2 linked regions of the Lepisosteus oculatus genome follow. The protein of the gene in region 2 purifies or fractionates together with the protein of the main gene of each other region. This does not show direct contact. Links are inferred from orthologs where the notes say so. Each region holds a gene or a part of one and is shown on either strand. Other genes may lie near its edges. The genes, in order: eif6 and bccip.

Region 1 (7,497 bases), on a different chromosome or scaffold from region 2:
TGCAAGCAATGACATTGCCAAGAGCTGACAGACGCTCCTCCACACGCTGGATCTGAACTTCATCTGGTAGGCAGTTCCTGATGTGCTGCAGCTCCTGGTCTGTAGTATTATTGGGCACTAGAAGTCCATGACGATTCCCTAATAGTAAGCAGCAGAGAGAAGGGTAAGAACCTAAAGGTACCTTGTATATCACAATTAATGTTCCTCTATAAACAGAGGGTAGTGAGAAAGGCTAAGAGCATTAAAGTTCCAATTTCTCAGACTGGTTATTAAATCTCTGTAACAGAATAAATTAATTGACAATTTCACAAAATTTTACAAATTCCAAATTAAGCACAAATAGCGAGTTAGCACGAATAGCAACATGAAACAGCCCTTCCTGCTCACTAGTCACTATAATGACTAATTTACTGTGCTGTATGAGTGCATAAGCACAGGTTGTGCAGTGGACTTTTCACTGCAGAAATGTTCCAACATGATCAGCATGCACAGTTTACAAGTAGTATTTGTCAGTAAAACCATCTTGAAGTTGATGCACTGAATTCAATTCAAGTGTAGTTATTCAAATCAGCAGTCTTGTTCAAGTACCTAAAAACGTATTCTGCTTTGGAGTTTACATCATTATGAAGTCTAACAGTTCATAATATTAAATATATTTTCATTTCAGATAATGAACCATAACTTGTGCTCAAACTAGGTATCATTCCTATCATTTCTGCTGACAAAACCAACCAATTAAAAGAAAAAGCAGCAAGAGGGTGACATCAGTGCTTGACAGGAAATTAGAAAAACTCATGATTTAACCTAAGTTAAGATGTGCATTAAATATGGTTTTACAACTAGGAGCAATATTTCTATCAAAGAGATGCATTCACAAGCCTGCTTGTTTACAATGTAATAAAGCTGCTTCACATTTCCAGACATTTGTTGCCTCGTTTGGAGTTGCAGGCAATGAGAGCAATATGGTGCTACGCATACCTGCAAATTGTCTATTTTGTGATGGAAATTAAAGGTTTTTACATATTACTGTGTACTTTCTTTCATTATGGTTTGAAATCATCAGTGCCAATTCCTTATAACTCCAAAATGTAAAAATATCATTGCAGTTCCTCTTTTAGGGGTGTGTGGCACATCCCCTCCACTGAATTTACACTACTCCCATCTGGGAGATACCCATGTTCCCAGGTGCAACAGTGATTGACACAAGAAACCTTTGATCCCCTATGCACTATAACTCTCAATGTAAATAACGATGAAGCTCAAGTCTAGTGAGAAAATCCCTAATTTTATAACCAGCACTTTCTTATCCATCAGGAACCCCACTGTTACATAAGTAGCACAAGGATACATTTTGTCCTGCTGAAATGTTTACACAAAAGAAAAACCCACAGGAAGGGACGTAAGCGAGATCCAAGAACCTATTCAAGGCAGTGCTGTGTTGCCAAGCTGCCATAATTTACTTCAAGTGGAGTTCTGTTGCAACTATGTCCTAGACCCCTTTGATTAGTTTATTGGCAAATTACACATCTTTCCACTCTATATTTTGTTCTTCAGATGAAGGCAGAGTGGATAATGGATGTCAAATTCATGACACTGCGGTACTTACCTACACACATCCTTCCTATGATTCGACAGCCAGCTATGGATGCATGCACCACAGGAATGGTTTCTGACAGCTCACCTTCAAAGACACTGCAACCATGAGAACAATTTAAAAGAGATTACTCTGATCCACAATCAAAACTTTTACCACGTAATCCATTAACATTTCAAAAGTCATTAGCATTTCAGGATTTAAATTCCAGAACAGTTGCTAAACTGTAAACTTTCTGTCTTTAAAATTACAAAATAGTTATCATCCTGCAACTCACAACAGGCAACCCACTGAAGCTCAGCAGGTGTGAGCCTGGTCAGTACCTGGATAGGAGACCTTCTGGGAAAAACTAAGGTTGCTGCTGGAAGAGGTGTTAGTGGGGCCAGCAGGGGGCACTCACCCTGCGGTCTGTGTGGGTCCTAATGCCCCAGTATAGTGACGGGGACATTGTACTGTAAACAGGCGCCGTCCTTCGGATGAGACGTAAAACCGATGTCCTGACTCTCTGTGGTCATTAAAAATCCCAGGGCGTCTCTCGTAAAGAGTAGGGGTGTAACCCCAGCGTCCTGGCCAAATTTCCCATTGGCCCTTTACCAATCATGGCCTCCTAATAATCCCCCTCTATGAACTGGCTTCATTACTCTGCTCTCCTCCCCACTGATAGCTGATGTGTGGTGAGCGCTCTGGGGCACTATGGCTGCCGTCACATCATCCAGGTGGGGCTGCACACTGGTGGTGGTGGAGGGGAGACCCTATTACCTGTAAAGCGCTTTGAGTGGAGTGTCCAGAAAAGCGCTATATAAGTTTAAGCAATTATTATTATTTTTATAAAATAGGGGTGTAGCGTCAGAAAACAAACTTGTTCTGAAGAGACCGTATTCAGCAGTTTCAGTGATTCAGAATACAGATGTAGAACACCTAAACCTCTAATATGATATCTGAAGATAACGATAACTCAACACGTGCATTTTTAAACTAAGAGAAAAATGTTGACTTACCTGTAAAAGTTCTCCGAGCCCCCTATGGCTACTAGACAGTATCTGTTTGTAAGTTTGGCGAAACAGCCTATTTCATTGTTATTCTCAAAAGACGCCCGGACTGCCATGCCTATAGAGGTGATCACACCAGCGGCCCGCAAACTAGAACGACACATAATTCCATTAAAGCAAATGCAAGTTCACTTTTTTTTTTAAAGAATTTACCTGAACTCCCTTCGGAAATTCACCGGCAGCTTTGCCCGCTGTACTTTTAAATCGAAGTAGCTGAACCATTTACAAAAATGAGAAAATACGGATCTCACCATTACAGCGTTCCCTATATTCGAATTGGTTAGAAATGTAAATGAAACTAAATATAACTGTTTACAAAATCAAAAACGTAAATCATTAAGAGATAATGACAGCACAAAAAACATATAAACTCATGTTCCTCTTCGCTGTTTACTCGATTTTCTCTCACAGCAAAACAATATAAATTCCATAGGGACAAATTTAGTAATTTAAAACAATATTGTCATTTGAATGACTGATATGAAACCGTTTACAATAATCACAGTACCTGTGAAAGCTCTAAATGTTTCTGTATCGCTGCCTACACTACACCCGTACAACCAGGCCTCCTGCACTCAAACACGGCATGGCCCACACCCACGTGTCTTCTTCTGCTTCTGGGATTGCTGTGATGTCACGGGCTCCTTCGTATCAGATAGAGCTTTTCCACACTCGCCATTTTCCTCACAGGAAGTACTTCCTTTTGTGCTCTGTTTACATCCAGGTTAGTCTGTACGGGTCCATGCTAGATATCATAATATCAAATATTAAACGTATATACTCGTAATTCACAATTTGACTTTAAGTCAAAACAGCATAAAGTGAGCAAGCTACATTAAATTACATTATTTTTTACAATTAATTTTTTGGGATCTTACTTTAATTATATAAATCTGAAGAAATTTTATGTGGAAATCTCGGACTTTCTGTAGTATCAATTCAAGCTTTTCAGCTGGTAGCCATATCATTATTCGGAAATGGTAAGTTCCTTCCTTTCCTGTCCAAAGCCACTGGCAGGCACTGTACATATACAATTCTGCTCAAGTAGCTTCAGACAGCACAGCATGTACCTTGGAGGTTTTATGATAGGATGCTAATTTGTTAACACTAGTATACAGCAAAAGGATGCGAGGCGTCTAAAAATACTTTATTAAACAAGAGAATACTGTGTCAGATAAAGCACGTTTCTTATTTGAATTCAATTATTATTATTATTATTATTATTATTATAGTGGAGCTTTTTACAGCAATATTTGTTTTACTTTTTTAAAATAAGTTTTTATTTAAATACCAGAAATACAGAAAAAAGGAGACAGAAGAATGAAGTAGATACAGAAATAGACACTTCACAGCCAGAGGAATTCACAATTTTACAGCAATATTGCTCCTCGTCCGCAACGTCATCTGCGCAGCAGCTCCAAGCGCACGTGCCCCACCACGCGGCGAGCCTGGTCAGGCGTGTGCCCCGCGCGAGATGCAGCCCGGTGTGACGTCACTGCTGCAGCGACTTCTGCCTGGAAACTGCGAGCTCACCAGCCGGGCAGGGTCGCCGAATGGCCGCAAAGGACGTAGACAGACTTGTCATTAAGCACAATCTGGCTTCTTGTTAATTACGTGATCTCCTGCATATCTGCTGCTTTATGTAAGCATTTGAAATGGTGGAGGTTCCAGATTTATTTTGACCAGTTAGCCTGTTAAGGTGTTGTTTACTGAATATGATTAGGTATTTTAAATGTAATGAGCTCTGTTTTGTACGCTGTCTGTTATTTGTTTTAAAGTGTTTTCAGTTAGTAACGTCACGAGGTTAAATGGTATTGTAACAGTATTAAAAGCTTGATTGTGATCTGTAAAGTGTTGCAAAGGGCGTAATAGCAGATAAAGCCGATTAAAAATAGTGCACTCCTGTTTAATATATTATCTGATTTAGCAGGAGATAGATATATTAAACTCACTTTTCTTCTTCTGCACTTACTGAAGATCTTACAAACTCAAGTATCAGGAAACTTGTTACCAAGCAGATATTTATAAATATTTTCTCAGTTGATCCAGTTGGTCTTCTTTTCTAAAATGAAACATTAAACTGAAGCATCACGGTGTTAATATTAATCACATTTTGTAAATTTAGTCATTTAAATAAGAAAATCAAAGATTTTCCACCTATTTGTACAAGGTACCATATTTAATTTAGTTTAAACAAAGCTTAAAGATGATAGGGTCTAGTTAATACAAGTCAACAGGACCAAAGAATATAACTACATGTAATTCAGATGTAGAATTCATGTGTTAATTATAAGGAACTGGGAAACTATGTAATGCAATTTCTTTGATAGATTTTGAGATGCATCACTGTACTGCATCTGCACTGCACTTTTGGTTTAGTGTCCCTTGTCATCCCTTAGATGTCCAAAAGAGGTCAGTTTATCTTATGATTTGCATTTGAAGTGATTTGCCACGACAGAAACTGGTGATCCCATACTCCCAAGAAAGTGTATTTCTTAATAACATGTTGCATCATAGGTTTAGACTGCATTTCGTGTTTACTCACCAGTAAATGCCTTGAAACAAGTGCTCAAGTCCCATTTAGTCTTCAGCTAAATCAGCTGCTTTATTGTGTAAACAGATGCTCTCAAACAGCTCTCTGTCAGGGTTATCTTATAGATAGGTGACAGCAATCTTGTTCTGTACACCGATATTTCTGTTGTTTTTCAGAAAATGGGAGAAGGGCAGAGCAGAGAGAAGATTTCTGTCTCAGAGGATGCCTGTTCATCACTCCAGGATTCAAAAGTATTCACAGGACCACCTTCAAGCCCAACACCATCAGAGACCACCCAGAGACCAGAAGCAGACCTACCACAGTGTCAAATAGGGAATAAGAAAGTAGATGACATGTGTTTTATGATCACATGCACCAACTGGTATTAGACACTACACCACAGACTGAAGTCCTTGACGTTATGAAGTTGAATTTTGAGGAATATGTTTTTATGATGAGTTGATCCGTTCTGACATATCTTTGTAAAATTATTAAATATGCAGTTTTCGAAAGTAAAACTATTTAACTTTTTGTTTGTCTGTAGGTTAGAATGTCACACGTGCACCGTTCACCATAAAAGAGCAAATTGTTGCAGAAAAATATCTTTTCCACAGTAGAAAGCCATTGATTATCTTAAATGTGTGTTCTGAGTGTCTATGTGTATTTGTGACTGCAAATTGAAAAAAGTATTGAAAATTCAAGTCACTGTGACAAACTTTAAGACAGTGGTCTGATTCTTGACACTTATTTAATGAACAGGATTCCCTCATTGTGATGATGTCAGAACCATATTTATAGCACAGCAGCCAGTGCAGCTGGTGGAATCATGCTGATTTATAATAATAATTTATTAATATAATAACAATTCCATACATACCACTTTCCTGGACACTCCACTCAAAGTGCTTTACCGATAATGGGGACTCTCCTCCACCATCACCAATGTACAGCATCCACCTGGATAACAACGGCAGCCAAAGTGCACCAGTACACTCACAACATATCAGATAGAAGTGTGGAGATTAGATTGATTAAGCCAGTTCAGAGATGAGGATTATTAGGTAGCCATGATTGGTAAAGGACGGGGAAATTTGGCCAGGATGTCGGGGTAACACCCCTTCTATTTTCGAGAGACACCCTGGGATTATTAATGACTACAGAGAGTTAGGACCTCGGTTTTACATCTCATCCAAAGGACAGCGCCATTTTGCAGTACAGTGTCCCCATCACTATACTGGGGCATAAGTACCACCACAGGCTGCAGAGTGAGGGCCCCCTACTGGCCCTTCTAAGACCCCTTCAAGCTGCACCCTTAGTTTTACCCAGGAGGTTTCTCATCCAGCTACTGACCAGACTCGCACCTGCTTAGTTTCAGTGAGATATCAGTTGTAGGTTGCAGGATGACAAGGGGTGCTGGCAATTTCCAAAAATATTTTCAAAACGTTTAAGCGTTTAGGTGTCAGCGACTAGGATTCCTGAAAGCAGCGATATACTGTTGACTAAGCACTGCTTAGGTTGCGTGTGTTTCATTCAGTTAGAGTATCCATTACTGGCCATACAGCAGCAAACCAGGTGGCTTCCCGGGTGCCTGTGAGCTTCCTGTGTTGTTGGAGCGGCAGTTCTATATTGCTAACTTTCCTGTGGGCACTGTCAGGCCTGGAGCTGGAGAAGGTTTTGAAGGTCATGGCAGTGGTGTAATTAAAACTAAAAATGGGGTGGATGAGCCAACTGGCATTCTCTCATTTGCAGTTCTTAATGATTTTGTAAGCCAACACCATTTTCAACAGATGTGTAGCAATAGAAAATGATGTTTTCATACTTATATATTTAAGACTGAATTGAAAAGGCAGTAATTGAATAGGACAGGAATATTGATACAGTATGTGCAAAAGCAAAAACAGATTGTCATGTTGGTTCCTTTTTTTATTGACAAATTTATCTGAAATACAACACGGTGAGCTGTTCTTTGATACACAGTGTGAAATTATTAAAGAATAAAACAAAGTACCTTGCTCCAATCATTTATGATTAACATAAGAAAAATGTTTGCTTATAAAGCTTGTAACTCAACATAAAATGAGGTAAAACTTTTTTTTGTAGCAAAGGCAATAAGAGAAAAATGCAGTGTTAAATTAGAAATGTTTAAGCAACAGCAATAGAAAAAGTAGCTATTTTCCAGTGTGAGTAGATTTAATGAATTATTTACATTTTTCACAGTTTTGTAATGGGGAACATCAGAGTTCTGCTTTGATGTGGGCTGGATTTGTTGAGGTTGTTAGCGTTTTGAAGTGGATTACCAGTGCCATACCTCATAATAAACA
Region 2 (7,561 bases):
CATGAAGGCACCAACAAGGGATGATTTCATTTTAGGCTGAAGATTTCATTTAGCTGGTTTCGCTGTGAAAACCACCAGAGAGGGGGCTGTTAAGCTTTAGCAATTTTTTTGTACAATCACATACTGGCAAACAACTTCCCCAGTAACTGCCTGGAGTGCTTACCTTCCTTTCAGTGAGGTTTAACAAACTAATGAATCCAAACACTTCATCAGGATCATCGTCATCATCACTATCCTCGGGTACTTCACCTTGCTGAAAAAAAGAGAAGAGCAGTGATCACAGTTATTATTAAATAGACCAAGACCGCCAATATCCCATCCACTAGTGTTTCAAGTGGATCGGCTTTTCAAAACTGTATAATGTGAAATAATAGATTGATCTCATTAGTAAAAAAGTGTTTTATTACAGATTTAAATTACATAAAATTGGACTGGCACAGAAACTAGTGATTAAAAGATCAAGTATCACATGTCTGCACTGTGCAATATATGCACCTAGAAATGTTTTAAAAAATTATCAAGGCCATTTAACAAAACAGCAACATAAAATGTATTGCAATACATGCCAGAACACTGCATAAAAGGTAAACAAACACAAGCCATTACACAAAAGCACTTTCAGTCAGCCAGTAGAGACACTCTGAACATGGTGAAGCAGCATTTTGCCTCCTTCTTGTTTAGGCACGTTTCAATCTCACCAGTGTTTTCCAAGTTAGTTCAAGATAGTTCTAGTCACAAACCCAAGGCATGAACTAAACTGTCAAGAATAACACCAGAATTCTTAACACCGTGAAAAAGGTGCCAGTAAAAGTCATCTAAAATTGAACAAATTTTGGTGATTAGCATTTTGAGACAGCTGGTGCCACATCACCGGAATAAAGGTGAAAGCCAAGTTTGCATTTCCTAATAGTATCACAAGGTGAAAACACATATGCATGTACTTTAAATGAAATATCAAAAAGCATACAGCAGTGTGAAATACTCACAGTACTGTCACTACCTGGTTTTTGCATATTGCTGCTGTTTGAATGCTGCTTAAAATAACAGCTACTACCCTTCAATGTGTATATTGCTGTTATTGTATAATGTCATGTATATTGCTGCTACATGTACGTTTATGCATACTGCTGCTACTGCTATTTTACATGCCACTTTCCACTATTTTGTTGGCACACATGCTATTGCTTTATGTTGTTGTCTCCAACAATTTGTGATGTCATTTGTATGTTATTTGTTCTGTCATTAATAACGTGAGGAAACACACAAGCATAAACATGACAAACAAAAACTTGAAATTTGAAGAGAGTATTAAAATTCTTACTCTAATGACACTTCCAATTTCATTCTGCTGGATGATGATATCTGTCAGCTCTGAAATGTTTACAGTGGCTTTCAAGAATACCTGTGAGGACAAGAGCATTTATACTTTAATTATTGTTAATTATGAATTAATAATAAACAACCTATGTCTGAGACGTACATGCAGCTAGAATAAAAATACATTACTTGAATACCTGCACCTCCTTTGCAGATATTCAAAGAACAATGACACGGACCTACCATCACAAATTCTAAAATCAGATCTTGCTAAAATATATAATATTTTTATATTTAAATACAAAGAACAAGCAATTAAATGTTATTTCCGCACTCTGTTGACATTTTTCATCTCCAAATCGCCTTCTTAAAAGTTTCACTGGCACCTGCAAAAATCCTGACAATTAAAGCAAAATTCTCAAAACAGTAATAGGTTTATTCCATGCTGAAAAAAAGAAGAAAGAGAACACAACGTTTCGGCCGTGGAGCCTTCTTCAGGTGTCACACCTGAAGAAGGCTCCACGGCCGGAATGTTGTGACACCTGAAGAAGGCTCCACGGCCGAAACGTTGTGACACCTGAAGAAGGCTCCACGGCCGGAATGTTGTGACACCTGAAGAAGGCTCCACGGCCGAAACGTTGTGACACCTGAAGAAGGCTCCACGGCCGGAATGTTGTGACACCTGAAGAAGGCTCCACGGCCGAAACGTTGTGACACCTGAAGAAGGCTCCACGGCCGAAACGTTGTGACACCTGAAGAAGGCTCCACGGCCGAAACGTTGTGTTCTCTTTCTTCTTTTTTTCAGCATGGAATAAACCTATTACTTGTTCCTTTGCAGCCTACGCATGCTGACGCAGCTACCCACCTGAACTATTCTCAAAACAGTTACCACCAACATTAAAACAACATTAATTTTGCTAACCGCTAATTCCTATGTTCAACTAACTGCAAATGTATTACTTGAATACATTTCACATATCTCTGCAATTTATCATTCTCACCGTTGTTGCTAACCATCAGTGCTTGTGGTTTTAACTAATATCCTCCATATGAAAATAATACATCGCTGAACTGATTACCGTTTCATCAAATGTTCAAGGTGTGCACACAAGAATGTCATTTCCAATGGACACCAGCAGCAGAGGGCGTTTTCTGTTACTTTATAATATATTATATATTTGACTATATACTATAGTATAGTCGACTATACATGATGTCTCATGAAATGTGGTATGGAAACATGATAGTAGTTATTTAGCTTTTAAAAACTGTAAACATGGTTCTGTACATTGCTAGTTGTTTTTGGTGTAGCAACTGTCATTTTAACGACGTTAAAGCATAATATATATTTACCTGTTGCAACAATTTCTTTATCCCGTTAAAATCGTTCTCGGAGATCGCATGTGCCTCAAAGTCCACCTTCACCTCCTATCAAGTAAAACAAAACACGGCAGGTCAACGGGGAATTGCTAACCACGTGGATACCACATTTTTATAGTCTTCCCCTATCTGTAATGTTTGTAAATATATTCTGAAACAGTTCATTGTTTTGCCTAACACGTCAAAGTTGTTGCTGTCTAGATACTGTAGGTAATTATAATAAATCATGAGATACTTGAGAATGCGATCTGGCCGTAAACCGCGGGAGGCTCCTACAACCTTAAAATCATATACAGTACCGTATGTATATATATTTTACCTCGTGTATCTCCTCATCGGAGTCTTCGCTGTCCTCCTCTCCCTCGGATGCCTCTTCCTCCGAGCTCTCCTCCTCATTCTCCTCCGGGTTGACCCCCATTCCTACGGCTCGCCTTTTCGCAGAAGAGGCCATGCTGCCAAAACACACAGAAGAGGAAAAGGAGGGGACCTGCACACGCAATTCTTACGGTTAAGTGGTGTGGGAAGCTGTAGAATTATGGACGCCATTTTGGCTCAAACTGTCTCTCGCATGAAATGTTCAACGTGGTAGACGCCATGGAAATGTGTTCAACCTCCACTCGATTTCATAAGGGAAGCACCGAAGGAGGAAGGGGAGGGTTTTGGTGCAAAGCACTTAAAGAATTCGAGGGGAGTCTTATTTATATAACATATAAGTGAAGATAACATACTTAGAAATAATGTGATACATTTTACAGTGTATATGACATTTATTATGGGAATGGTGATGGCATTTTTAAAAATGATTTTATTTTAATGTATTTTTGTCTACCTCTGTTCTTCACGATTCTTGATTTTTCCCTCGTTCTTCATCCGAGTTCTTCAGCGTAATTTGTTGTCGGAAGAACAGCTGTTCAGGCTGTGCTGCTGAAGTATGTCTTATAATTTCTGTTCTTGGGGCAGTTATCTATCCACTGCGTATACACAATCATCGTGCGAGTTGTCAGTAACATTTGTTTCAGGAGCAGAGATGTGGGGGGTCAATGAAATTAAACGTTGTAACGATTTCCTGTATCTGCTGTTTTGCGTCCCCAATTCGACCTTTGACAGAAATGGTGTTCAGCGATGTGTAACGTTTAATGTAGGATACTGCTCAACAAAGTATTTAATTACTGTGAAGGCTACGTATAAAAATAAATGATTGTATTGTCCGTGATCAGTCTTTTGCCAAATTATACGCTTTCATAAAATAAATTGATGCATACAAGCTTATAGAGTTAATGAAGAAGCTACAGTGACAAAATTAAAAATAAATGACTATGCTTGTTCCGAGTAAAATCCGCATCTCATTCCGTTGCTACTAACAGAACCTATGATCTTAAAATTGTTGCGTTTGTTCATTTCCTGCCTAACACTGTGGAGGTCAGAGGTGACGGGCTGGAGTATTATAAGGACAATATGAAAACCCCGCAACGAAGCTAATGTGTTCCAGACAGCTGAACACCTAGTCAGATTAGTAGCCGTCGTACTGAGAGTTTCAGGGTTTATTTGTGGGAAGAATACAGGGATTACCCAAGAGTTAGAGGGGGCAAATATGAGGAAGGTGTGTCATTTAAGAATGGCAGCTGACCAGCTGTTGTGGTATCATCCGTTGTGAAATAGGTGTTTCTCTTCCAAACACACCCGCCCGTTGCCTGAATCATGGCTTTGCCACTGCGCACACCATAGATTTGATCTGAACAAATGTCTGTTTAGTATTGTAAAAAAAGAGAAACTAAACGGAGGTTCAGTTGGGTTAACAACAGCACAGTTCAACTGACCTAAACTGTCCTAAATCATAATCATTCCTGGTATCATTTGATGAATTACAAACAAATATGAATACTAAACAAAAGTACCTAATCTCCTCCCAATCTGTCTTTTGCATATCTCCTTGATTTTTGCAGTTACACCTTGGTCACTTCTGGCTCTGCATGGAGGTCCCAGCTTCCTCCTGCTATGGTCAGGAGTTTTGCCCTCAGCTAAACAAGTCAAGCCTAGCTTACTGTGCTTATTACTAAACTTACTGAACTATACTCCACAACCGTTTTTCAAAGCACTAAATTCTTGGGTGCTGTTATTATTAAATTAATGTTTGTATACATTGCATACATTTTGGATATACATGGCAAAAGTAGAGCAGTGGGAATTTTGAGTTACGCTATCAGAAGAACAACGCTTGTCAGTTAGTGGGTGTGCACTGTGCTTACTCATGCCTTTGAAAACCGCCTCTGTGCTGAATGGCGATTGATAATCAGTTTTCTGACCATGAGGGAAGTGGGACATAGTCATTTCGTTTGTATTATATAATATTCTTATTGTCTGTTCATTACAGCTTTGCTAATTGTTTTTTTTAGACAGTGGTTTGTCTTTGCATTGAAGATGAATGTGCTCCTGTTAAAAGAATCCAAAGAAGCCGATTCCAGTTCTGACCCTTATGTAAAGGTTTGTATACTGAAAAACAAAGAAGAGAAGACTTTTGTGTAATACTTGTCTAAGTTAATAGGAAATAATAGCCAAGATAGATTAATCAGAAAAATGTAGTACTAACTGTGGCCGAGCACGCTCTGTTTTGTGATCTTTAAAAGTCTTCTATTTTGCCTAATTATCTCTCATTATTCCACATGTCATCTACCAAGTTCTTCCTAATTGCAGTGCACTTTTCATTCTTTTGTAGGAGCTGGCATCCTGTGGAATTAAGGCTACTTTGATACCTGTTTTGTCTTTTGAATTTGTGTCACTGAACACTTTGTCAGAAAAGGTGAGGGATAATCTTTGTGTCATTCCCCTGACATGATCGTACTGTTACAGGCTGTTTTTTTTTAAATGACAGTCATTCAGATCAAAGCCTGAATGCAAAAGCTATTCTAAGACACTCCGGAGTTCATAATGAATCACGATCAAATGAAGAGAAAATGGATACTGTTATTTTGTCTTATGATACCTTACAATTCCAACATTACACATTTTTCACATTTCTTAGATCTAATCTTCCATTCCTTTAGAAAGAAAACCTTCTTGTGTCAGCATGTGCTTTGCAGATCACATACAATGACTATCACAATTTCGCTGGAGTCTCACATAGTTACTGACAGGTTAAAATCCTTTCCATGAATACAGATGGGCTGCATGTTACAATTAATTTATTTACTAGTATATTCAAGTCTGATAAAACATTTTTTTTATTAGCTGTTTCACCCTGAGAAGTACGGCGGACTTGTCTTCACTAGCCCGAGGGCTGTGGAGGCTGTGAGAAAGTGCCTTGAGGACAAGGGTAGAAGAGATGGTAAGTGAATATGTCATAATGTTAAAATGGAGAACATGATAAAGATAGCATGGTGGCGATTGTGAATTGTTTTATACCTCTTGTTGGTTGACTAAAGGAGACTATGGAGTTTGGTTGGCTTGTAAATGTTACTTCACTGTCTTTACTTTCTGCCAAGCAGTAACATGGCCAGTTTTTCACTTGCAAAGATAGACTGGCACAGTTGTATTGGATGTTTTCATCTGGAGATCTTCATATTCCAGCTCTCTGAAGCGAAGCGTTGCAGGGGCTGTAAATGTCCCATAGATGTCAGCATTTGCCATATTCCTCCCTACACCTCTGTTGTCATGGCCAGTACAGACAATTCCACAAAGGGAAGTTAAGAGCTGTTGTCCTGTTGCTTTACACAGCTGGAGTATACACAAAGCAGCGATCTGGAACAATGAAGCCTGACAGGTGGACACATCAGAGATGTTTTCAGAGGTTTACGATATAGTGGTCAAATATTTACAAACCACTTTCTCTGTGAAAGCTTAGTTTGGATTATCTCTTTTCATCCAACTTGTCAGAAAGGTGGACTCATTCACCCTAATACATAAGTCACCACTGCACCCAGCTCAATAAAACAGCTCCCATTGAAGAAGAAGCCTTTTGTATTGTAGTTTCATTTTATCAGTTTGGTCAGAAATGCTTTTCTCCCCTCTTCACTAGAGAAAGCACTGGCATCACTGGAAGGTGAGCCTTATTTGCAATGCAGTGTCGACACTGCTCAAACATGAAGACAAAAAAAGGTTTCCTCTTAACAACAGCTTTGCATTTCACAGTTGCAGGACAGCCTGCAGCTAGAAAGATGTTTTCGTTGCAGGTACAGAGCCTCTTATTTTAACATGTGACAGGATTATACTGGACGATAAGACAGTTGACAAAAATTACAAATGTGTTTATGCAATACAACTAAATTAATCTAGCTAGCCTTTTTATTGAAAACTGAATCAACGATATGAGATGGATAGGAATTTAAAAATGCAAATGATTTAAATTAAGTGGTAAAATAATGATACAAAATAGTAAAAAAGGTGTAATGCTGGTGTTTTTCATTTTAAATATTTTGTAAGAAACCACATTTTTGTTCACAAGAGACACTCCAGTACTCTTTTAATATATTACTCCCTGGGTTTAATTTTCTGTCATGTGACAGCGTGCAAGCCATGAAAATTGGTTTCCTAGTGAGTGTTTTGACATTTAATAGGTGTTGAAATATGTTACTTTAGAATCTTTTAATAATGTGATGGCTTATCTGAAATAATAGAAGATGCATTTTTTCAACGAACCCCCATGATATCTAATTATTATTTTCCAGTCCTTCATATGCTTGTTAGCCACAATACACAAATGGAAATAAAACAAGACCAGAAGCCTGTGTTTAATTATAACCTTCACTGAACAAATGGTTGCCGCATCCCTGACAGTGATCTATTATTATCTGTGTATTATTGTAGTTTGAGAGAATTCTTAAATTCTAACACCTGGCCTGTCAGAATCCTGTCCAACACAAATTTAATT

What was found.
Region 1: the proteins of bccip (region 2) and eif6 purify together in Homo sapiens (affinity purification with mass spectrometry; 3 studies listed by BioGRID and IntAct, counting the BioPlex papers as one, with this or other methods). This does not show direct contact. The link is inferred for Lepisosteus oculatus from reciprocal best matches to the Homo sapiens genes BCCIP and EIF6.

What each region holds. Positions count from the first base shown.
Region 1 is NC_090711.1:64,913-72,409, forward strand, and holds the start of eif6 (eukaryotic translation initiation factor 6), read right to left. Parts: upstream 3,256-7,497; 5' UTR 3,152-3,255; intron 2,734-3,151; 5' UTR 2,700-2,733; coding exon 2,593-2,699; intron 1,693-2,592; coding exon 1,607-1,692; intron 139-1,606; coding exon 1-138. UniProt on the Homo sapiens protein: Binds to the 60S ribosomal subunit and prevents its association with the 40S ribosomal subunit to form the 80S initiation complex in the cytoplasm. Behaves as a stimulatory translation initiation factor downstream insulin/growth factors.
Region 2 is NC_090699.1:26,808,734-26,816,294, forward strand, and holds the start of bccip (protein BCCIP homolog), read right to left. Parts: upstream 3,149-7,561; coding exon 3,017-3,148; intron 2,998-3,016; coding exon of another isoform or gene 2,924-2,997; intron 2,746-2,923; coding exon 2,671-2,745; intron 1,403-2,670; coding exon 1,322-1,402; intron 254-1,321; coding exon 164-253; intron 1-163. Other genes in the region: uros (uroporphyrinogen-III synthase), read left to right, coding at 2,924-2,997, 5,091-5,178, 5,411-5,494, 5,923-6,019. UniProt on the Homo sapiens protein: During interphase, required for microtubule organizing and anchoring activities. During mitosis, required for the organization and stabilization of the spindle pole.